Linked DNA regions of Drosophila melanogaster. The protein of the gene in region 4 interacts with the protein of the main gene of each other region in a pairwise test. Each region holds a gene or a part of one and is shown on either strand. Other genes may lie near its edges.

Evidence for each region.
Region 1: the proteins of Dph1 (region 4) and CG16717 interact in a two-hybrid assay, tested with the Drosophila melanogaster proteins (one large-scale study listed by BioGRID).
Region 2: the proteins of Dph1 (region 4) and Cdk4 interact in a two-hybrid assay, tested with the Drosophila melanogaster proteins (one large-scale study listed by BioGRID).
Region 3: the proteins of Dph1 (region 4) and CG15308 interact in a two-hybrid assay, tested with the Drosophila melanogaster proteins (one large-scale study listed by BioGRID).

What each region holds. Positions count from the first base shown.
Region 1 is NT_037436.4:9,676,782-9,681,918, reverse strand, and holds CG16717 (uncharacterized protein), read right to left. Parts: upstream 2,719-5,137; 5' UTR 2,453-2,718; intron 2,020-2,452; 5' UTR 2,012-2,019; coding exon 1,109-2,011; 3' UTR 859-1,108; downstream 1-858. Other genes in the region: alphaTub67C (alpha-Tubulin at 67C), read right to left, coding at 1-16, 503-505; fry (furry), read left to right, coding at 3,093-3,147.
Region 2 is NT_033778.4:16,577,345-16,586,052, reverse strand, and holds Cdk4 (Cyclin-dependent kinase 4), read right to left. Parts: upstream 6,584-8,708; 5' UTR 6,520-6,583; intron 6,490-6,519; exon of another isoform or gene 6,127-6,489; intron 5,948-6,126; exon of another isoform or gene 5,360-5,947; intron 5,221-5,359; exon of another isoform or gene 5,212-5,220; 5' UTR 5,141-5,211; coding exon 5,038-5,140; intron 4,058-5,037; exon of another isoform or gene 3,183-4,057; coding exon 3,017-3,182; exon of another isoform or gene 2,684-3,016; intron 1,902-2,683; coding exon 1,766-1,901; intron 1,704-1,765; coding exon 1,375-1,703; intron 1,310-1,374; coding exon 1,174-1,309; intron 1,102-1,173; coding exon 1,018-1,101; 3' UTR 605-1,017; downstream 1-604.
Region 3 is NC_004354.4:10,216,804-10,221,641, forward strand, and holds CG15308 (uncharacterized protein), read right to left. Parts: upstream 2,337-4,838; 5' UTR 2,276-2,336; coding exon 2,270-2,275; exon of another isoform or gene 1,934-2,269; intron 1,601-1,933; exon of another isoform or gene 1,575-1,600; coding exon 1,293-1,574; 3' UTR 1,110-1,292; downstream 1-1,109. Other genes in the region: CG34408 (uncharacterized protein), read left to right, coding at 3,746-3,937, 4,560-4,779.
Region 4 is NT_037436.4:11,692,254-11,698,477, forward strand, and holds Dph1 (diphthamide biosynthesis 1), read right to left. Parts: upstream 4,711-6,224; 5' UTR 4,622-4,710; intron 4,246-4,621; exon of another isoform or gene 4,098-4,245; intron 3,326-4,097; 5' UTR 3,322-3,325; coding exon 2,557-3,321; intron 2,493-2,556; coding exon 1,893-2,492; 3' UTR 1,626-1,892; downstream 1-1,625. Other genes in the region: CG14135 (uncharacterized protein), read left to right, coding at 1-106, 169-343; Dnai2 (dynein, axonemal, intermediate chain 2), read right to left, coding at 4,959-5,008, 5,093-5,312, 5,372-5,609, 5,665-5,843, 5,903-6,224.

The DNA.
Region 1 (5,137 bases), 2.0 Mb from region 4:
TGGAGACTACTTCGCGCTGGCGGGTGAAACAATAAAAGTGGTGAGCTGGGCAAGAGAAGGCGCCATTGTTTAAGGTTAGGTTAGGTCCTCCCTTTGTAATTTACTTTACAAACACATTACTAACTAAAACTAATATTAAGAACAGTATTATATGACGAAAAGGTAATACTCTTTTATAATTGGGACATTTTATCAAACTCAAAAAAAAATACAAGTTTAAATATTCTTTAATAAACTTGATTGTCTGTTATAATACATACGAGGAATTCATTTTAAATAAACAATTCTAAGATCTTAATATTTTTCAAGGATTTGTGAGCAGTAACAGTTAACAGTTAAGTTTCAAAAAATTCGCAATTAGCTGTTCATTTTCAATGAACATTTATTCATGTTCACTTCCCACACCTTTTCATTTCACATCTTCTTACACATCTTTTCTGATTTTAAATTTCACTTCCCGCTTTCAGCAATTCTTAAACTAATTAGTTTTTCTTCTTCTCACCATTTTATTAGTTTTTTTTTGCTGGACTAAAATTGGGTGTATACAAATTAAAATCTAATGCGGGACCTTTTTTTTATAATTTTTTTGGTCGCCACGCGAAAAGTGCAGCCTCAGGTTAGTTGGTTCGCTGATTGGGGAGTCACTGGAAAAGCGCCGTTACAGAGCGCCAAAGAGGAATGTCAAATTGGGAGACAGGGCTGCTAACCAATAATCATTCCAAGGTTTTTCCAACCCATTTCTGGCGGCTTATCGATACTAATTTGAAATAGTATGTATGTATCTCAGGATTTGCTTTACCTTTACTTAAATTATTATTAAAAACTATATAATATCATATTGAAAATCTTCAAAAGTTTAGGTGTCTTCAAAACTTGTTTATTTTTACAAATTCATATATTGACAAATGCACTCTACTTGAATAAATATTTTATGGCATCTTAAGTGTGAATTTCTTTTTTTAATTTCGTGCGAATTGAATTCTATCTCTCTAGACACCTACAATTGTGCTTCAAAATCTTTACAGACGAAATACCTTAACATAAACATAAAGTGGGACGAAAATAAATTCATTGAACCTGTGACACAATAAATAATCATCTAGGCATGCTAATCCTTGCGAAATCCGGGGGGCAGCGTCACATCGAAAACGATGGGGGCATTGTTGGGTAGGTAGTTGATGTCACACGTTGAGGCATTCACAAAGATGATCCTGCCATCGCTGGTGATGCCGTAGCCTTCGTGTACATGTCCGAAGACATGGTATTTCGGGCGCACTCGTTGCTGCACTGTGCTGAGTAGCTCCACACAACCGGCTCGTACGCCGGAACAGCAGAGATCGCCGTGACCCACGGGCGGCGTGTGGGTGACCAGGATATCGATGCCTTCCGGGATTTGATTCCACTTATCCAAACAGGCAGTTCCACGTGGAACATTAAAGGCCCAGCGACAGAATTCCGGTTGCCATGGCGAGCCATATATTTGAATACCCCAAATCTCAAGTAGTTCATCCTCCAAATACCGACAGTTGGTCAGAACATCGCGGACATTCTGCGTTTGCACAGCGCTCTCCAAGTTCTCCTTGGCGTTGCCCAAAGTGGGCAGATCATCGAGGATGGACATGCCGGTGTGTTTGCTGCTCGAAGCATGACTTTTGCTCTTCTGGAAAGGATGGGTGAAGGTTCTATCGAAGCTGAGCTCATGATTGCCAGCAATCACGATCTTGTGGCGATGGGGCAGTGCTCCAATCCAGGTGTTAAACTCCTCCACCTCCTCCAGTTGGCCGCACTTGGTAAAATCGCCGGCATGTATGAATATATCGCCATCTGGTATATCGAACTTGATGTAGGGCGTCAGGGAGTGCGTGTCGGACATGCAAACCACTCGTGCCTTGTTGGGCGCCACCGTGGTGGTCGGTGGCTTCATTGTCACCTTGATCACGCGCTGCGTTTTGCTAATCTCCCTCCAAGCGGCCGTGGGATCCTGGCTAAGTGGATGTACTGGCACTTCCATTTTGATATCTGCAATGGTGGCGTGTGAGGATTACTATGAATTTTCTTATGGAGAACTGGTTTGTTTACGTATAATTCAGCGAGGTATTTAAACACAGATACTAAATCTTTTGTTTAAGATAGTAAGAGCTATACATAAGACGTGGCCATGAATGTTATCTTACTAAGACAGTTCTTTAATTTTAAAGTACTGGGAATTATGGGTTTTTCGTGTGATTCGTAAATTTCATATATTAAAATATTCAATGCAATTACATTTGTGTTAAAAGGACAGGCACTTGAAAAAGATTTAATGAGTGTTGTAGTTAAGCCAATATAATTGGCGTACGTTCCAATTTAGGAAGCATTTGTAACTATATCTAAAGAGTAGAGTTAAAAGTCACAACTAATACAGGTAACAGCTTCATTTGTCAAATTAATACTGTTAATTCCTTTTACTTACTTTTAGTTATAAACTTTCCAAGCGATTCTTCCTTTTTTGCTTCTTTGCGCCTCGCCGACTTCTGATTGTTTTAGGCCATTGTGTTAGGCCTTTAAGCACACGTTGCAATCGCCGGCGACATGGTCGCGCCCTGATTAGTGCGCGTTTATTTATGTTTAGTCAAGTATTTGCAGATAAATGCGATATACTAATTTGATAATACCAATCAAAATACAAGAAATTGAGTGTTCACGCGTGACGTCATTGCCGGGGCAAAACAGCTGAGCGCCGATAGTGCAACGTAATGAAAAACGTAACGTACAATCGCCTATCGATTGGCAAGTTTCTAACGTAGCCCTGGTCAAAACAAAAATCAGCTGCTTTATAATTTTCTGCTTCTTCGCTACGCGTAAATTTTCGTCCAACATTTGCAGTAAAAAACGTTCCTAAAATTGGCTAAATCAAATTGGAAATAGTGTTTTTTTCGTGTGCATTTGTGTCAAAGAATGATAGAAGTGTTCTTTGAGTGTTTAAAAAGTGAAACGTGATTAAAAGCTGGAATTCCAGGCTGGGCAAGCAAAAAATGGCCGCAGCTGCAACTTTTGCAGACGCGTATTGTTTTTAGCCATCAATTTTTAATTACGGATTGTATTCGATTGCAATGGATCAATTAGAGCTGCAGGACGATTTGTTTGGTTTGGAAGCAGGTGTTGCAGGTGAGTTATTTCGCAATTTGTCGTCTCTTCTTAGTTTTCAGCTGCATAAGTGGCTATTTATGGGATTTAAAGAGCCTTCTGCGTGATTTTCTCGATTTTCCCTTTTGCATCGCGCAACTCTTGCGATTAACTGCACTTGTTCTTAGTTTTATGCTTTTGTTGCTAATTGCACACGCCCACTAATTGTTTGACTGTGTGCGCTGTTGTGTGTGTGTGTGTGTTATCTCACTGCATTTCACTCACTGCCTCGCCTCCTTTGTTCTCTCCCGCCCCTCCCACTTGGACCTTCACACACTTCACCTCTTCTGCATCTGTTTATCCGTTATCCATTTGTTTGTTTGCTTTGTCTTCCTCATTTGTTAAGTGATGATTCACTTTGATTGCCGGCCATCCACACGCACTCGTCATCTCTCTCTCTCTCTCTCTCTCTCTCGCCTACTCTCTTTCTCCTGCTCGCACTTGCACACCTAATCAAATTGAACAATTTATGGTTTTGATTCACTGTACCACAGTGGTGCAAGTTCTTAGTGCACAGGAAACGGTTTGTTTACTTTGAAAAACTTCTATCTTAAGGGCTTCTAAGTGCTTATATGTATGTACAATATCTTCACAGAGAGTCGCCGGTAAGTTTGGGCGTCTATGAAAATATTTACCTCTGCTCTTGATTTAGATCAAAGTGGGATTTTCATTCTAATTTTGGGTTCTTTGTTTACACTTGGGTATCGCAAATTTTGCAACAAAGGAATATAAAGCTACAAATATACGTACATACATACATACATATGTTTGCTTCTGGCTTCAATCGAAAAACTTAAATGCTTGCTTTGCGGCTTTGTCGCTAGGGAACCATTAGTTTTATTAGAAGCACTTGAGAACACATATAAGCATACATATATAAAGAGTTGCGACAAAACTAAGTTTAAAATTTAATGACTAAAGATATATGCAAAAATGATTGCATGACTATCTTATGCTTTTTTGCATGCCAAAGGTAATGAACACAAGCTGTGCAATAAATAATCTAGTATTTGTCTGAAACAAATAAGTCTTTGCCCACCGTTGACATAATGCAGTTTACATCTCATCCTTTGTCTTCTTTAATTTATGGTCTCAACGTTTTCCCTTTTTCCTTCTACTTTTTATTTGGCACACAGCAATTCCGAGATTGATTTACCGCCGATTTAAGCCGGTACGCGATCCGATTTGGCCCTATCTCAATATTTCCCCCAAAAACAAACCCGCCCACTCACTTCTACGCTTTTCATTCACAATCGCAACCAAAAAAAAAAAAAAAAGGCGGGAAAAACAGAGTGCCAAATAAACCTTGATAATGACATTCAGCGCCGAAAGAGGAAGAAAAGCAAAACAAACGTCTGGCGTCACAATGGGTGTGTTGGGATTTTATTTCCATTTGGTTTTGCTGCTCTTTCAGCAGCAGCACCACCACTACCATCGCTACCACCATCAGCACCACCTGGCAGTTATCCAACGGATTTTGTAGCGCAGTGTGGCAAAATTAGAAAATTCCGCCAGCCATCCAAAGTCAAATGTCGAGTCGTCGTTACCATCACCTGTGCGAAATTGCATAAGTTCGGGCTCCAAACGCTCGTACATCAGCCCATTTTCATTTTCATTCTCATTCTCATTTGTTTGCCCGCCGTCAAGGCACACAGTACCAAAAGCCAAAGGGAAAACACACTAGTCCGATTCAAAATCCGAGTGCAGAGAAATAGGTTTATATAGCCCACTTGGGTCCAACAAAAATCAAGTGCGTTCCCAATTCTTTTTTAGCGGGTGTAAAGTGCGTTCCGGTCGCGTGTTTGGTTCGCCTTCTCGAATCGCGTGCCAGTCGATCATTTTCGTAGTAGCAACTCCTAGTTATGCGGTGGGCGTGATGTAATTCGCCAATTGCAATAAAAGCAGTTAACTAATTCAGCAAACCAATATTGTACAAATGGAAAGTGCCCGTGCTTGTGGGCCAAAGTGCTAA
Region 2 (8,708 bases), on a different chromosome or scaffold from region 4:
ATCTAGCAATACCCCTAATGAAACGATAAATTCAAATATTATTTTCAATTTTGCTTTTAAATAAAAATTAGAGCAATATTATTGATTTTTGAACAATTTGGTGTGTTTTTTTTATATTTACAACATCAAAAAGTATTTATATTAGCTTAATAATATGACCTTTCTTACAGCATGGAAATGTTATCAGTTGCAACACTGGGTTTCAAACTTGGCTATCGTAATAGTGGGAAGCACTTTGCTCTTGCAGTAGGCGGTCACACCATTTGAAACGGTTCTGTTAGGCGAGGTCTAACATACTGTTAAGTGCTGGAAAGAGAGCAAAATGAGAGTGATCGTAAGCTAAGAGAAGGAACTAGGGATGCGTAAAAGTTAACAGCTGGCTATCGATGATTAACATGACCATCGTTTTAACAGCAGAACTTAACTGTTATTTGTACACATAAATATAAAACTGTAATAAAACTCGAAAAAGCTGTATAAAAAATAAATTTTTTTCGAAAATATGTTTAATATGAGATATTTATTATTCTTCAAAAACACTTTAAATTTAAGTTGCACCCCCACTTGAAATAAATTGCAGAAAAGACATGAGACCCATCTTATTGTATGCTGTATATATAATTGCATATATAAATGATTGTTGTACAAAATTTTGAAATTGTATAATGCATTCCTGAACTTTGTGTATCACATTTCGATTTGGAGGGCCTTCAAACGCCCTCGAGAATCGTTTCACATGTAATGGTCATCAGATAGTTGATCGGCAGTAGTATTCACACTTAACTTACGACTACAAACAAATTAAGGTATTCTTTATTCCGGATCCGTATCCCCGGACACAATAACTGGACTGTCGCGAAAAAATAAACAAAATGCTTCACTACACTTAAAGGAACATTGGTAACAAGAACGAAGCGCGGCCGCAATGATCAGTCCACTGCCACTTTCACTTCCACATCCATAATCCATAATCCATAATCCATAATCCATTATCCATTATCCTTCTGGGCATCGAGACTATAGGGGTTCCTGCTGAAAGTAATCGTGCTCCAAACAGGCCAAGGCGGATGGTCGCAGGTGGAGGTCGTAGGAAAGCATTTTCTGCGGGCAAACATAGGGTATGCGTTAGTCTAGACCATGCAACAAGATATGTATCTTCATTTTCATACTCACATTCAACAGATCATCGGCGTACTTGCACAGGTGTGGGCAAAAGTCTTTTGGTCTCTTTGGATGCCGCTGGGGAAAGTGTTCCAGGGCCACGGAAATGGTCTGTGGCCACTGTTGCTCGGTGGGTCTACCGGTCAGTCTGCGTGAAATCGCATAAATGTAATTAAAAATCACCGATTTCAATGGCAGTATTTGTGCACTCACTCGAAGATGCGGTCCAGCTGATTCTTTTCGGAGGTGCCCGGGAATAGGGCGCGCCGATTGAACATCTCGAAGATGATGCAGGCGGCACTCCAGATGTCCACGGTGCTGTTGTAGGGCTGGGCGAGCAGAACCTCGGGTGCGCGGTACCACAAGGTGACCACCACGGAGGTGAGCTTCATCTCCGAACCGTAGGTCTTGGCCAAGCCAAAGTCGGCGATCTTGAGGTGGCCCTGCGAGGAGACCAGCAGGTTTTGCGGCTTAAGATCCCGATGGATGATACGGTGTGAGTGTAAGAAGTCCACACCGGTCAGTAGTTCCCTTGACAAGCGCTGCAATAGGAAATAATTTCATATACCATTTTCTGAAATTTTGATATCATTTTGAGACCCACCTGAATTGTGGGCGGCGACATGCCCGATTTGGGAAGTCTGTCTATAAGATCCGAAAGATCCTGCTCCACATGTTCGAAAACCAACAGAATCAGCAATTGGCCGTCGCGCTCCAGAAACTGGCATACTTCGTACAGTCTGAAAGAGAGGGGAAGTGCAATCTTTGTATGTACAAATTGTTTGATTTTGTGTGCGACAGAGAGCGATGTATGGGGGAAATGTTGAGAGATATAAAAAAAATGTGTCATAAAATGCTGCTGGTTGTGGTGCGCCAATACGCCATTGGCCATACTTTGTTCGTTTCGGGAACTACGCGAAGCACTCGAGACAAACACATGCGCACATGGCGATCAAAGAGCCAAAGAGAGCGTCCAGTAAGAGAGGCTACAGATCGTTTTCGGACAGAGGCAAAACGTAAACGTTAGCAGAGCAGATTAGCATTATGTTATGTTAGCATTATGTTAGAATCAGTTCGGGCAGTTATTTTAACATTGCCTTTGAATTACTTAAAAGGCACAGTTTTATTGAAACCTTCTACTGTTACACTTGCTTTAGCAACTGGCACATTGGGTTTTTAAAAATACAGATAAATACAAGAAACTTAATTTGCCATTGATTTATTTCTTGTACCCCTCCAACACTTTTGGCTTCAAACAAAATAACAGCTGCACTTTGTAGCCATTTGCAACTTAACTTAACATTCTGTTGTGCGAGATCTCTCTCTCTCTCTCTCTCTCTGTCGATCTCTTTGTACTGTATTCGCGTCGCGCTCTCACGCTGCTAAAGTGCAAGCGAGTGCGCACATCGATAACGCGCGACAGCAACATGTGGTTATCGAGCTGCTCTGTTAATTCAAATTCCTAACGGCCGCCGCAAACAAACATAATGCCAATACAAAATCGCCCACATTTGCGAACTGCAGTGATCAGTTATCAGCGGGAGCGGATCGACTTGCTTCAGACTTACTTGACTTGACTGGCATATGTCAGAAGCGAGGGCGTTCGCCGGGGGCAAATCGTCGGAATATTACGGCTATAGCATGCACAGATAAACACAAGCGCGCTGACATTGCGATGCGGCTCTTTACAAATGAGTTTGGCAAATAGCTTTGGCGCCGCCACTTGGCCCCAATGGCGGGTGATAACACCCCTCATATACAGCTAGCTAGCTATAGTTCTACATAAAGTACTCAACTCCAAGGCCATTTAGAAGCCCACTGCCCTTGTGGCAGCGTGTAAATCACCCATACTCACTTGACAATATTCGCATGATTGCTGGCATTCAGCTGCTTCAGCAGCGAAATCTCCCGCAGCGTGGACATTGGCACACCGTTCTCGTTCAGCGATATCCTAACCTTCTTCAGCGCCACTATGTTGCCGGTGATCACATCGCGGGCTCTGTAAACCGTTCCATAGGCACCTGAAAAGTGGATCGAAATTGTACATCAAAATGCTTACAACGGGAAATAAATGCGAAAGACAGCCGAAAATAGAATAAAATAAAGTCAGCTGTGCCGATAAGATAAATGGCAGAAATCAGAGAGGCGAGAGAAAGAGAGAAGGTGCCACTTAGCTTCTTCATATCATTATGGTGTATTTATACTTTTCATATTCAACATCGTATTTATAGCCCTTACGATTGAAGTGACTTGATTTATTTGCCTTGTTCGATGAACTAACTGTTTATAATGATTGAATGAATAGACAATGAATGCATTTAGCCCAAAAGAATCGTATTGCAATGCATGCAATAATTGCATATATTAGAGACTATATTATATGCACTCAAAATTAGTCAAAATATTGCACGAAATTCAGACTAATTTCCTCATGAAACTGTTGCTGTCTCAGGTACAACGTGATCTTAATTTCTACATGTTCACGGGCAAAGAAAAACGACAAGAGACGAGCAAAATTCCCAATCAGAATCAAATTCTGGCATGCCAGAGAAATGTCACCGAAAATTTATCACCCGTACGGACAAATGGACAAATGGACAAACGGACGGACGGACGGACATGCGTGGGGGGTAGAAAAGCTAGAAGGCACCGGCTATTTCGGTTGACACTGACATACAGAAACAGCAGATATGTACTGATACACCCGAAATAAACGCAACTTGAGGGGGGGGGGGGGTGAATTTGGTTTTCCGTCCCTTTGTCACCGTCTCTAGACCACCTGGCTTATGAACTGTGCCGCTGTTGCTACATTCAAGTACAAGGCCGTGAGCTCGACTCGTTTTTGAACGTCGGCAACTGGTCTGTCCAATTGGAATTGTCAAAAAAATATACAAATATACAAGCAAAATAAACTCGAAAAATTGCGCAAAGAAAACAACAAAGCAAAGCACTATGGGAAATTTACGCACTTTATCTGGCCGAAAACCGATTAATATATGTAATATTAAATGCATGCATTTAGTTACAACGGTGACTACTGTTAGGCAATGCAAAAAAGTTAATTGAATGACTATCTGCAAACTAAAAAATATATATTATATATCATTAAAAATATGGGCTAGTGTAAGGCAATGCAAAAAAAGTTTGGAGTTAGTTTGGCCACAAAAAGTGGTCAAATTTTCCATAGTACAAAGTAGCAAAAATGAGACTGAGCGAAAGCGAATAATAATTGAATGAATGTGCACAGAAAGGCAGACAGCCGAAAGTTTGAGTGTATGTGTGTGTGTGTGCGTTGTATAACAGATGAAATTGTGCGGACCCATGACTCGCACAACACCCAGTAACAATATCCATCATTAGCATTCGCCTGCCCATGATGATCGGCATGATCGGTGACGTAATTGATTTGGGCTTTATTTACAGCAAACAAGCGATCGTAATTACTGACCACAAAAAAAAAAGACCATGAGCCACTTGTCAGATCATCATGGATGTGAGATCGGCAGAAACACGTAGTCCGCCGAGAGTGGACCTAAAAGTATGCAGGTAGAAGGTGTAGGATCCAATACAGGGGAGTTTTCCATCCAATATTTCCCCTTTTCGCGGAATTTCCACGCTTAATTAGTAAAGGGGTAAAAAAACAACAACATTCCTCCAAGTGCACTTGTCATTTCAGCTTCATAACAATGTCGGAGCTCCCGATTGATCGTAAACAGTAGTGAAACCAAATAGCCCAGACTTTGTAAGCAAATTAAAGTAATCAAACGTTAACAACAAGCGACCAGCAAACGAAAGCCTCTCGTGCGAAGAGAGCCGGACCTATCCCAACAACAAAGCAACCGCGTCCCATTATTAAATCCCACCCAAGTCGCTCACCTTCGCCGATGATGTTGAGCTCCTGGTAGTTGAACGGATCGCCATCGCCGAACTTCTTCGCCTGGGACATTTTCTGCCGCTTCAGCTGGCGTACATATGACATTTAGCTGGATTTTACGGTTATTTGCGTATTCCTCTAATATTCCGGGTAATCGAAACCGTTAGTTGCACCAGCTGGAAGTGAAGGGGTGTTTTTTTTTTGGTTATCGATCGTCTGCATGTCACGTATCGATATGTCCTTGTGTCCCCACGCGATAGTTCACACAGATCGTAGCGTGAGAGGGAGAGTGCGAGTGCGTGAGAGAGAGAGGGAGGGCCTTACCTGATTTCATACCTGTTGCCTTTTCTAGATAACCCCAAAACTGGCGATAAAGACTGGTGTGACAGGTGCGCTAATGGAAGAAGTCTGGCTATATGCTCCGCTATGCTTTTCTATCTCCGAGAACCGAAAACCGAAACATATACATGGACAACTACATATGTATGTATGTATGTAGATGGCGGCGGTCGTTGAACCGCGTTTAATGTTTTCGTACATACTCCGTTTTTATGTCTAACCAATCGCAGAACGGCAAAGGCCAACACTAGTTATGACTTATTCATGTTATTCAGTGACGCTGCTCGCCGTCTCCGTTTTGCGGCTTCGTTCGTGCATCCTGTTGCTCTTATTCGAGCTTGACTGTGAACGCTGTACTGGTTATCTACTGTCGCGTTAGTTGGCGTGTGTCCACTATTCTCTCCTATCTAAAGTGCTACCACTTTTCTGTCAGTGCATTTTTTTTGCCCGAAAAATATACATATACCGCAAAAAAGAACCCGAATACAATGTATTTTGTTGCTGGCATTTGTCAATTAATTCTAATCGCGAGACAAGCGAAACAACAATAATAAGCGACACAGTCACAAAACTGGGTAGAAAGAGAGTGTCCAGAATTGTGAAAGGTATTACGAGGTATTACGAGCTGTATATTTGGGTCTAAAATACATAGTTATTGTTGCACCAGTTTTCGCCCCCTCTCTCTCCCTCGTCATCCCTCTCTCGCTCACCATTTGCGCTCTACTGATAAGGAAATTTCGGCTTCACTTTACTTTTTTTTCGGTGAACTTCAATGCCAATGTTGTCGTTTTTCTTTCAACCGTTGTGCGAAATATTAGTTAAATATTAAGAAAATGTGGTTTTTATTTGCGAAGACTCGAACACACACACAACGCCGCTAAGTGATTTCGCTTGAGAGATCGGTCTTACACACACACACATACACAAACACAAACGCACACACCGAGTGGTACACACACACAGGCGCAGGTATTATGTATACATATATGATTTTTATTCGCTTTGACGAAATTTTGGCATTTGTTGATAATCCAGCTAGAACCGCACGATAGGAGCAACGCGACGCGAATTTTCGGTGCGAACACGGTTCAGTTGCCGGCAGTCGCACTTTAATTAAGTTTTTAAAACGTCTTATAAATTTTTACCAATATTCGTAAGAGTTGAGTGATTTTGTGTTTTGTTGTTGGCACAGCTCTGGAAACTGTTTTAGATGGTCTACTTAACAGTGGCTTCTCTTCGCCTGTTATCGCCCGCTGTTAGCAAACAGACGGCCGCTAACATTGTGCTGTATACGTCCAATCGGTTAAACGGTTAATTTCGAAATTGCTGCCAGCGATCGTTATTGAATGTTATTCCAATTCGATAACGTAAGTGTTATTGTGTTATACTAATGTTATTGATTTCTGGGAATTTGATATTTTCAACTTGTAATAATGCCCAAATTTATTTTTTTTGCAATGTGAATTTCAGGCATTTATATATGTAACATATATAAATTACAAATAAATAAATAATAATAAACATAATGAAAATAATATTTGAAAAAAATTTTTATTACATACGATAAAATGTGAAAATTTTAAAACTGTCGTGGTCAACTACAATTGGTCGGCCATAATTAGTTAACTCCAAACATGTGTGTCATTGACTTTTAGCATTTTTAGGATTTGGTAAACTTAAATTTTTATAACCCTGCAAAATAATACAAAATTCTGGAATAAAATGTCTTAATGATCTAGATTGGCGGCATAATTCAATTTGTAACTCAATCCGGCGATAAAGTCACTCGTTGAATGTATAATTTATTGACATGAGTTGAATGCCAAAAGTCGCTCAACATTTTTTTGAGTGAAAGCTTGCTTACCGATTTCCAACGATCTGGCCGCACTGCCAATTTCGAAATCGAATCAAGGCATTCGCAGTGGGGCGCGTAAATTTAAAAACAATGTTGCAAATACATTGTGAAACCAATAAACGCATTTAACAAACCGCCTATCACAAATGTTACCCATTGGATTGGCGAAAATTTCCATGTTTTTTTTTGGGGAAAAAGCGCGATTAATTAGTAACGAAATCAAATTAGAGCACAGTGACGAAGTCAGCCGAGTGCTAATTACCACCAGCGGGTATCAGGCACCTAAATTATGCATGACGTACGCCTTTCCGGCTCAAAGTGAAAGGGCAAACAGCGAATGCGAATGCGAATGCGATTGGTCAGGATGGATGTGTTTTGTTGGGAAATGAAAATATCACTTTCCCAGACAGCCGGAACGTGCCCACCTTTCTCACCTTTGGTGGGCGCCAGTCGGCGATTGGCATTTGTGATTCAATTGCTGCAGCCCATCTTGGCCCACTTAGCACCTGGATGAGTCGTATTCCTTCGCGGAAGTCAACGCCCAGCCGTGTAGCATACCTCACCCAATTAGAACATATGCATTTCCGATTCCAAGCCAAACTGATTTCACAGAAAAAACTTTTCATGAATGAATAATGAATGAGTGTGCTATCAGGATTTCTGGGTATCATAATCGGCTTTGTCTTTCAACCGCCTGACAACTAATAATTTCCGAGGAAGCTGCCAACGGATTAGCCATTTAATTTGCATTAGTTTGTGTGTCTGGAACGTTGCCGGAATAATGGTATTATATGGTATACCGTTAGGATCCGGTCGAATCTGAAATTCACCGATCGGCAAATAGACGCAAGTCGCTGATAAGCATTTATATTTTGTTTTTCACTCTCTGACATTTTGTCGGCCTGTGACGAAGGCGCTTATCGGCGCTGGCGATTAATCTTATTGCGTTTCAAACCGGCTGCGAGCCAAAAAACTAATTAAATGAAATTTATTGTACAAATATTATGGTCAAAATGGCTTGGTTCTGGCTAAAAATACGCAAGAAAATGCCAAGCCAAACAAAGAGTCCAAATGAATCGCGCGTTCTGAGCCCGTTTTTTCTTCTCTATTTTTATTCTTTTTTTAATTCGGGGGTGTTGACGGGCAATTTGGCTAAATGTTAGCCAATTGAATAAATCAGCCAGCAGCAGCAGCACGGCAGTCTGCCGAAGCAACCGGTTGGCCATTGACACGGCCAAGACGGGTCTTGAAATCGACAAACTAATGCCACTTGGCCAACAACGTCACTGGCCCAGCGAATCGAACACACTAGTTCCAAACCCGAACCCCATCGATGATCGGAGATCGCAGTTCTGAGATGCGAGATCCAAGATCTGATCCACTGATCACGTGCGGCAAGAAGGGGGTTTTCTCTTTTGGCCAGCGGTATCCGGAGAACCGATCCAGTCGAGCGCGGCTCATTACCATTGGCATTAAACA
Region 3 (4,838 bases), on a different chromosome or scaffold from region 4:
CAAATGCTGCTGGACGCACCCAAAAGTGCCAATCGTCGTGGTTGGTTCTTCCATAGCCAGTTGGATTCGGAGCTACCAGCTACCAGCTACCAGCTACCAGCTACCAGCTACCAGCTACCAGTTTCAGTTTCATCAAGTCTTACGCTGCATTTCCCAAATTCCGAATGGGGATCCCACAATTAGCATGAAAATGAGACGCTACGTTAGTGATAAGCTCGGAATGGGGCTTTCATATTTCGTATTTTTTTTTTTATTCGGCATCTTATGTTTTATGGTTTAGGTTTTCGTTTTCATTTTGATTTTGATTTCGATTTGGATTTTGGATTTTGGTCAATTCAATTTGCATACACGGGCGTGCTGCAAAGCGGTTGCCTCACAAGGCGGCCGGCAGTCTGTCATAAACCAAAGCGAAAACCTAACCCAACCCAACCCAATCCAATCCAATCGAAACCAAACCAACCCATTCCATTTCACCTCATCCGGCAATTTCAAGGTGAATCTGAATCGGAATCTGTTGTCAAGCCGAACCATCTCATTGATGGTGGCTATATTCCATCTATATGCAGGTATTTATAAAACGAGCCGATTATTATGCAAGCCACCAGTCGCATCTTCGAGCCATGTAAAACGCATTATGTTGGCCCAATAGGCCAAAGATGTTGTAAAATTGGCCAACGGTTCGGATCAGTGATATCTGTTGGCGCATTTTAAATAGCCACTAAGTATTACATACTTACAACAATAAACATATGTTTATTTACACAAATATTCAACATAATCAACTGATGTGCATATATATATATATCCATTTAGAATCATATTTCTACTCAGTTTATAACAATTTTATAAAATACTATCAAATTGTTCAAATTGGTTATGCTTTTCGGTTAAGAAACGTATTAATTTATACCAAAAAAAAAAGAGATTTTCAGTGGGCAGATCAGATTGGTGGGAAATCAAGTAATATCCAAGAAATGGTTGGCTAACCTGCACTCTGCCACTAATCGTGATTATGATCTTGTCGCGGTCTATTATGGTTTGTTAATTGATCCATGCATGGAATGCATCTGTTGAGAAACTACATACATACATACATAAATATCTATATTAGTGCATCTGCAATCTCGAAACAAGTTTGGCTCAAATCTTCAGTTCAATATAACTTTTAACTTATATACATAAATATTTAAAACGATATATTTGAGTTTTGCTAGTATATATTTGTTCGTTCTATTCAAAGTTTATTTCACATCAAAAGTACATGTAGTGGTATCCTTTCTCGTGGCATCCATCTACTTCTGCTTCAACCATCCACCATAGGACTGCACCAGTGGAGCATCGTAGATGGGGGCCTGTCCAACGCGCACCACCGAGGGCACCACTGGAACGGACTCGACCACATTGACACGGCGAACCACCGGCACACGGCGGACCACAGGCACACTGCGCACCACCGGAACGGAGCGAATAACGGGCACGGAACGGACCACCGGAACGGAGGACACCGGCGAGTAGATGACACTGCACTGGGCGAGGGCCATGCAGGCGGCGATCAGGAAGGCGGCGATGAAGAACTGCAGGGATGTTAAGAATCGGAAATGGTCAGTTAAAAGCAAACACAAAATTGAGGATAGTTTAGATTAGAGGATCTAGCAAAAAGGAACTAAAAATGTCCACATATTTTATTGATATTATCTAACTATCTAAGTATCTAACTATGTAACTTTCTATGTATCTAACTATCTAAGTATCTTACTATCTTGCTATCTTGCTATCAAACGATTTAAGAATCTAACTATGTAACTACCTAACCTTCTAAGTATCTTGCAATCTAACAATCTATAAGATTTTTATATACATCTATAATATATTTATACTAAATTAACATTTGTTATACATTTTAAATGCACCTTTTGTGCACGTTCATAAAAAGTGTATAATTTATTTATTGCAACATTAAAATGTAAACAATTTAGGTGATTTTCAAATTAAAAGCCATTTTTATGGGCAACACATTAAAAAAATTTCAGACTGCAGACGATAAAAAAAACCAGAACACAATTAAGATCACTTTTTCTTCACAAATTTTGCTGATGCACACTGTTTTTTTTTTTTATTATTACTGTTTTTATAATTCAACATTCTACTTATTTTCACATAAAAAAAAAAACTTGAAACCTTGAACTTGTATTTGTATTTGTTTCGTTATCGTACATTCACAATTTGGTCAGCTATCCTTTGTTTCGTATCCTTGCGACCTTCAACTCACCTTCATGTTTCCAAACTTTGTTCTTTTTGAGTAAGTTGTGCTTGGAGGACTGGACAATTTGTGCTGATCTGTCGCCGGTTACGATGATCTTATATACCCGTAGTGTCAAGAATCTGAAAAGTGGAGCAATAAAACTGGCCAAAAAGAACGTATACGGATGCAAATTTTGTGCGGGGTTCGTTTAATTGTTTAGATATTGATTTTGGGATGCCATTATCATTGATATTTGCCAGATTTACCAGAGACGATCGAACAATGCGTGCCGAAGTCATAACTTATTTGAGACGCCTTTCAAATCGCCAAAACAATGAGGACGTTGTTCCTTTTGCGACAGGTGATCATCTCACCTGGCGAATTTCCGCACCTTTGATGAATTCTTGTGCAAATTGCTTCATTGCTTCATAAACTTTGTGCTGGGTTTACTGTCTTCGTTTTTTTTTTGGCTTTTTCTATTTTTGGCTAAACTCAATTTATGAGCCCATTGTCCACGCCCATTATGATTTTCGGTTCACCGAAAATAATGCAAATTTATGCAAATTTCAGTGAAGCTTCCTCAACACAAATAGCGCAAAAACACAAAAATTGTTTGCTTTTGGTTTTCTCATACAAAATATTTTGGCAATGTGAAAAGTAACATTATTAGTTTTTAATTATGCTATAATCTTTTACACAACTAATCTCTCTTTAATTTCGCTGTTTAATTGCCCTAATGCTTTTGAGCGAATTTCTTTTGATGTTCGAGAGTCTTTTGGTAGTTTACCTTTTTTGTTTAATAAACATTTATGTAAATCTATTGTTTAAGGCCACTTTCTCCCAGAAAAATAAATATCATACGAAAAATGGAAAACAATGAAGGGCTTTTGTTTAAGTTTCATTCATAGATAATTAGATGCAAAGCATATTATTAATATATTTAAATGTGTTTAAATTTTATAACTGTTATAAATTTGCTTAGCATTAATCAACACTTGCAATATCGATTGTCGATAGGCGCCGATAGTCCCGCCCAAGTACTAAAAAACACAGCTGTTTACATCGCTCCATCTCGCTCGCTCGCTTTTCGCTGTGGATTTCTATTTTTTTTTTTTATTGTATTAAACAAATCGCAAAAATAGGTCTTTAATGGCGGTGTAATCGAATCGTAGTTGTAAACAAAAACAAATAAAAGGGGCGGGAAGTGCGAGACAACATAAACATTTGGGGAACTTCGCATTTTGCAACATGAGAGCGGTCAATTAGCAAGTCAACAACAACAACAACAACATGGCGCACCTGCACCTAAATTCTTCATGTTGACGTCAACAAAGTGAAATCCGATCAAGAAATCGTAGCGATCGCAGAGAAGGGACCGCCATACGGATTATCGGGTGAATAGGAAGCATCGAGGAGGAGGAGGATTACCACGATCCCCAGGATCATCAGGAGCAGCAGAGTCCCCAGGATCCCTAGAGTCCTTGGACTCCTCACCACACCAGGATGTACTCCGAGTGGGCCTCGCTGTCTGCCCAAATCACAGCCAACAGCTGCGGCGCCCAGTGCTTCAGTGTGCTCAACAAATTCCCCGCCTCCGCCGGACGCGAAGTGGTCGTCTCCGTGGTCAAGCAGCTGGGCACCAATCTGGGCATCACGCAGAATGCAGAGCCCAGTCACCTGGTCAAAGACGAAGAGGTGGGTCATCGTAGCTGTCCCACACGGGATGGTTTACTATAAAGCAGGCTACTCGTGTAGAAAGCTGTAAAGATAATTGTTAGATAAATGTTTTATTACAATTACTTCTATATTATATACTATAGTCAATACTATATATTATATGGTCAGGAAGGGATTTTAGATTTCAGGAAATCTGCTTATTTTTTATGAGAAGCAAAGTAGTATCCTTAAAATGCCTAAAACGAAATAGTATATCTTATATCAAATTGAATCTTAAACCGGAAGTTAAACTTTCTTCATACAATTTTCTTAACTTTAAGACTTGCAAAAACATTGCTTACACACATGTCCAACAAAGCATTAGTTTAATGAGTGAAATAATGTATTAGTAATGTTCTGGAAAAGCTTCCATTAAATCCATAAAATTGTGCATGTAATTGCCAAATGAATGAATGCAAACTCAATTTATATTACCTCAATCTGGAAACGAAATATAATTGTTGTTTGTTGGTTTAATGTAGAATTGCTATTTATAGAATGCTTGGAATGTTCTCATAGAAAAATACGAGTTTTCCTTGGAATGGAAAATGTTGAAACTTAGATAACTCAGATTACTTACAATAACTCGATTCGATTCTAGGTAAAATGGTGCATGGACGTGATCTGCTTCGGACTTTCGCTTCCTCTGCAGGAACACGAGACGATCAAGGATTGCGTGAATGTGTACTGCGAGTGGCTGACGGCGCTGCATCCGCAGCCCAGGATCAGTGTACCGAAGCCGATATGCGAGGATGCCAATCTCTATGCTCGCCAGATCATCAATCACTTTCACAATCTGTTTGTGCCGCGCCAGGGCGAAAGTAAGTAGATGACCACCAGGCCCATGGATTTTATGATTTATATATGCTGTCCCTTAACC
Region 4 (6,224 bases):
AAGTAGAAATATTGGATCCTCTTAACCCGCAGTCAAATGCCAAGGATCATGTGGAGATAATCGATTCGGAAGGCGACAGTTATGTGAAGCACTTGGAGCTCGAAATGTAAGACTTTAATACATGTTATGTGACATTTGATAAGTCATAAATTTCTTATTCGTCCTTAGATGCTCCTTAAAGCGTGAGGTATTTTTCCTCAAAGACGAATACCAGAAGATAAAGGCTGAAATGCGTAATCTCAAGGACACAATAAAAAGATCAGAGGAAGAACTCGCAGAAAAACAACTCCAAGGTGTTGTTAAAAGCAGAAAAGTTGGTTTGAGGTTTTGGTTTGTTCCTTGAGTAACGTTTTTATTGTTTTAGAGGAAATCTCAGTTTTGAAAAAGACCAGATATCTACGTAAACATAAACGACTGACCAGTTATTAAAAGCTGACATCAAGCGTAATAATATATTATCAAATCAGTATCTGAATCCAACAGAATTAAAAATTATGAATTATGAAAAAAAATGTGTGTGTTTTCATATAAGCTAAAAATTTGTATTTAATCTGGTAGCTTAGGAAAGCCTTTTACTAAACATATGGAATACAGACGTCGAGTCTTGGGCAAAATCCTTCAACATTTTTGTCTACCTACTTACCCACACCTTTTTCCTTTCTCTCTATCGACTTGAGCACTTTCCACAAAATCAGCGGGTATTCAAAAATGTTTTGAAGGTGTTCGCGCTTATCTTTCCTGGAAATTTTTGGGTAATCGCGGTGTGGTAGTTTTTTTGCCAAGGTCGAAGTCATTACAGCAGGCAAAGGACTCTTATCCAGTTGAATTCACACTTTGTCTACCTGTAGGAGTATATAAACCAGTGGTCGTTTTGAAATCGACCTGCACTGCAAGCGATGTTCTCCGACCGACAACATCCATCGCGGACCGACGTCAGCTCCTGGCGGAGCTTCACGTATCCGGCGCTGGATCTCTGAAGAATCAAAGAACGAGAGCGACGTGGAACACCACACATCCTGGGAGCAACCATAAGGATCCAATCTTGAAGACCATGCAGTGTCAGCATATTAGCCGAATTTAGACAATTGTAAATTCTAGTTAATTGTATAGATCAATTGTACATTTTAGTTAATGTCACATTTCGATTGTATATATACATCATCAACACAATTGTATATACCTAGTTAGTTAGCCAATTTAGTCTAAGTAGTGCAATTGTACATATTTACCTTAGCCAATTTTTAGTCAATTCAATAGACCAAATGTATATACAAACAAACTATAGATAATTTAACAAATTTAGTAAAATTTTTAGTTCAAGTGTACATAATTTAGTAAATTTTTAAAATAAATTGTATATATTTTAAATATTTTTGATTTTTTTGCAATAGAGAATGAAATTTATAAGAACCAAAAAAGGAAATTTGCACAAATTGGGGGGTTCTTTGCACTGGACTATTTTCATAAAAGGTAACAAAAATTTGAAAAAGAAGCCGAAAATATTATTCAGATAAACATAATTTTAAGTATTCGAGAACATATGTCTCTAGAAAAATGATTTTATATTTATTAGTTTTTAATAAAATATTCCTAAAGAGCCTTTCAATATTGAAATATTCAGGTTTCGTTTTAAACATTATTTTAATGTTTAAAATTCTGTACATTGTTGCTGCTAATTAACAATTGCATCTCTGTTAGAAAAGTGTTTGCGAACATAAAAATTATGAACCTATCTGTGATGAACACAAAAGATGCCCTTAAAGTAAGAACTTAAAAACCAAATTTGTACTAACTAAATTAGTAGGTAATCAATATATTTGGGCAGGCGATCGTGGCTGATCGATTGAGATGGAGGGCTCCGTGGGCAGTTGGAAGCGAGCCGGTCAAATCGCTTATCCCTTCTTAAAGTCGAGAAGATCGTCCAGAGCCGCTGCCTTGCCGGAATCGTCCTTCTCCAATTCCGCTCGCGTGCATCTTCCACAACAGTCAGCCGAGGGCTTGTTCTCGCACTCTCCTATCGCTGGTGGCTTGAAGTTGGGAGTCCAGGGTCCCAGGCTGCCGCTAGCGTAGAAGTCCATGGGATAGGCGTTGTTGCGCGGCGACGAGTTGTGCGGCGTCCACTCGACATCGCCCAAAACCACGGACAGCTCGTAAGGATTCAGCAACGGTTGGCTAAATGCGGATCCCCAGTCGATTGAAAGTCGCGGACAAGCAATCTGCACAAAGGCGTCGATGTCGGCGAAAAGAGCCAATTTCTGTGGGAAGATCTCCGACAGCAATAATGTGGTAGTTTCAATACCCTTGGCATGAAGTCGCTTCTCCAAAAACCGATGCACTCTTGAACTGCCTTGTCTTCCGAGTGTTCCAAGTATGATGCCAATGCGGCGCGCCTTCTTAGCCCGCTGAACAGCGTCCAGGCGCAGATTCTGCATCGCCGAGTGATCGTACTGCTCTGTGGTGAACTTCTTTTCATAGGGATCGTACTTGTAAGCCTAAAATAAACATAAATATATTATATAAGTAAATGAAGAATTCGTTTTAAAACACACTGCATACCTTTAGCAACGGGTTTGCTATCATTGCGGATTCTAGATGAAAACGCCCGTCACCCAAATATATTATCATCTTCGTTGTCTCTGGCAGCTGAGGCGAAGTGCACCCAAGAATCTCTCCAGGACTAAGTGGCTTGGCCTGTGGTACTATCACATCATAGCCGGCTGCCTTTAGCTCAGTAGATGCAGCTTGCAGCGTTGTCACGAACTGTATTGTGCTTACTAAAGCTATTTGGCCCACTTCCGGGCGGAAGTTCAGCTTTACAGAGTCCAGGAAGTGCAGCGGATCGATTTTGATGTCTACAAAAATGTACAGCACCTTGATGCCACACGTCTGATCTACGGGAATGAGGCAGCTGTGGCCGTAGTGGACCAGCAGATCAGCTCCCAACGCCTTGGCAGTGTAGTCGTCCACGCAGCAAGCTCCGTAAGTCACATCGCCCATTATCACAGTATCTGCGCTGGTGAATCGCTCCACAATGTCGCTGATAACCATGGCGTACATCAGCAGGCCCTCCGGCAGTTGCAGGGCCACACGCTTGGCCTTCATCTCCCGTATGCGCCAAATCGTCTTGTGCATCTCGAAGTTGTAGTTCGAGGGCAGACGGTCGATGGCCTGCTGCAGCAGTGGATCATCGAGCAGCTCCTGGGGAATCCGATTGATGCGCGCCTTTGGCTTGAACACCTTCTTTGGTCTGGCTCGGACCACCACAATATCGGTGCTTTCGCTGGTCGGGAGGTTGCTGCTGGGTTGGATCACGTCCAACATGGTGCTGCAAGAACATAGAATAATGGGAATATTTGTAATCGTATTTTTTCAAACCTAATTGGTTTTAATCAATATGTTTTTTATTTAATTTTGTTGTTCCATTCGCCTGCTTAATCCACCTTAAACCACCTCAATGTATTTGTTAAAAAATATATTTTAAATACTATATAATTCCATTCATATATGAACTAGACACGTTAAGGTCAAGATTGTTTTGATTATTAGAAATTATGGAATCGTATTAAAATTTGTTTGTGCGGCGAACGGCTCACTAAATAAACAATAAACAAAGACACCACAGCGCATTGCTTGAACTGGATTTGGATGATGCGACTGGCGTACGTGACTGCTGCTGAATAGCATGGAATGGGAGGACGAGGTCCGGCCCCCTTCGATTGCAGCAAACCGGAAAAGCAAAACCCGAATTCTTATAATTAGCCCACGTCAGGTGGGTGAATCACTTAATGGGCAGCCCCACCTTGGGGAAACACTTTGGAACAGGCACTTTCAAATCGGAGCGCCATCAAGGTCTGAATTAACAATTGGCAATAAAATGGCAAAACAAACTGGCGTTCTACTTTATAGTAAATAGCGTAGTATGTAAACATATTTAGTTGTTGTTAATGGTGAAAGTAATATTGTTTAAAATATTGAAATTAATTTCGAACAATGCACAGACTGATTTAAAACTAGCACGAAAACTATTTAAACAGCAAATGTTTACCACTATGTTTAAACATAACTATAGCAACTTCACTGGTTGGCCTTTGTCTTACCCGTTGTATTTGTTTAGTTAAATAAACACTAATATTTAATAGTAGAACTCGGATCGTTCGATACCTTTATCAGTTGGACGTTAGACGCCGTCTGAGTTTCAGGGGTTGCGTTTGCCGTTTGGCTGCTGCACAAATTTTGGTCACTGAACTTTCCGTATGTGTTGCGCCATTGATAACTGTTTCTGAGTCACGTAGGCCGCACACCATGCAACACGCAACGGGTTACTTTGGCTACCTGATCCCCGCCAATTGCAGAACTTTGAATTTTTAGAAAGTACCTCGCTTGCAAGTAGCTGACATAAACTCTAGCGCTGGATTTGTTAATTCGCACTCGGAAACAACTATTATATCACTTGGCACAGATTATGGTTGGTCTTCGGCCCTTGAACTTGTAGCCAAGTGTATTTCTGGCACGTTACTCGCACAGCTGATGCGAAATTGTTGCTTCGCCGTTGCCGTTCTCAATAGCACCGTCTATTGATTTGTGTTTGAATATGCTTCTGTGTGTCTTATAAGTTACTTACAATTTTTGATCTTTAAGCGTGCTTTAAAAACGTTTTAGTTATTTCTTTCCAATCCCGCGTGCGAATGTCGAATGACAACAGCTGATTGAACCAATTGGCTCGTGAACTTGTGAGCCCCAGCTGGAACTGACTCCGAGATGAGCAAAGAACTAGAAGCAGTTTTATCCAACACTGAAACTAAAAAGTGTTGAAAAGCACACGACGTTTTAAATTTTACCTCTTATGCTGAATTAATTAGTTTTTTAAAAAGTGGTTACTATATTTTTATTTCCTATACAAATTCCCTTTAACTTGTACTTTAGATTTAACAAAAAAAGGACATAGTTCCGTTTGGGATTTACAGCTTCGAACTCTCCGCCTCGGACACATCAGCCTCCTCCGCATCCTCTGAAATGGAAGATTAAAGAACACAAATTAGTGGATACTCCCGTAATAGGGGTATACATTTCTAAACCGCCTTCGTTCACCTACGCTTTCCGCCTGGCAGCCGCCTTTGGCGTTCCTGTTCCACGGCCGCAAAGTATTCCGAGGCAGCTTGCTCGCAAGCTGCTTCAAACGGAGCCATGTTGATCTTTCCGTTGACCATCATTGTGTCCCCCTGATCCTGGCCATGGTTGGCCTTGACTTTCAGCTTGCTTTCCCGGGACTTGGCCTCCAGGATCTTCTCGCGACGGTTCTCGCGCTCGAACATCTGCATATGGAAAATGTGACTCAAGATTCTAGAATGCTGGATTCCCAATGGAGTCTTACGGCTGTTAGTAGGGGTTTGTCGTTCTTGGCTGACATGACCATGTTGTCGGAGACTTCGACGAGAAAAGTGGCTCCCAGCTGGCTGCCACAGCTCACGAATTTCCCGTTCTCGTTGGTCCGGACACAATAAAGAGGTTCATCGCACACCTTGACCGTGAGAACGGGCTCGTTCTGCTGCTGCAGCAGATCCCAGGTGTCCAAGACGCCATCCATGCGAGTGATAAAGAACTGGGAGACTCTAGAATTGATTATGTAGATTACGTTGAATAACCTTAGCTTGAATGAATACTCACTTCGTGTAACTCCAAGCGCCATCGGTCAGCATCGAGCTGCTGCTCTTGGTCCAGATGATGGAGCTCTCTCTGCAATCCTCCGACCAGATTCGGGCACACCAGTCGCCCACAGTTAGGAAATTCTTAACAAACGCCGGATTTCGGGTAATGGCATACACCGGGCCGAGGTGGCACATCATCTGCGGGATTGCAACACAATCAATAGGAAATGTCCTGTGATTAAAGCCAAAGAGCATACCCGTATCTGAATCTTCTCCGTGGGCGTCTTGCCCTTTCGATTGCAGGAGAAGAGCATGCCCATCTCAGTTCCCGCCATGAATCTTGTAGGTATGGTGGTCTCGTACTCTAGCACTGATATTCCATAGGATCTGGAGAGATCCTGATCGTCACTCTTCACCGGATCCATGAGCAGGCGGTCCAGCGGTTCGGTAAGCTTCCTGGTATCCCACCACAGCACCTGACCATCGGAACCGCCGGAGAAGAACTCTGTGCCACTCTTGGAATTGTTCCAAAGCACCGAGTTAACCGGATCCCGATGGCACACCTCCCGTTCGCTGATC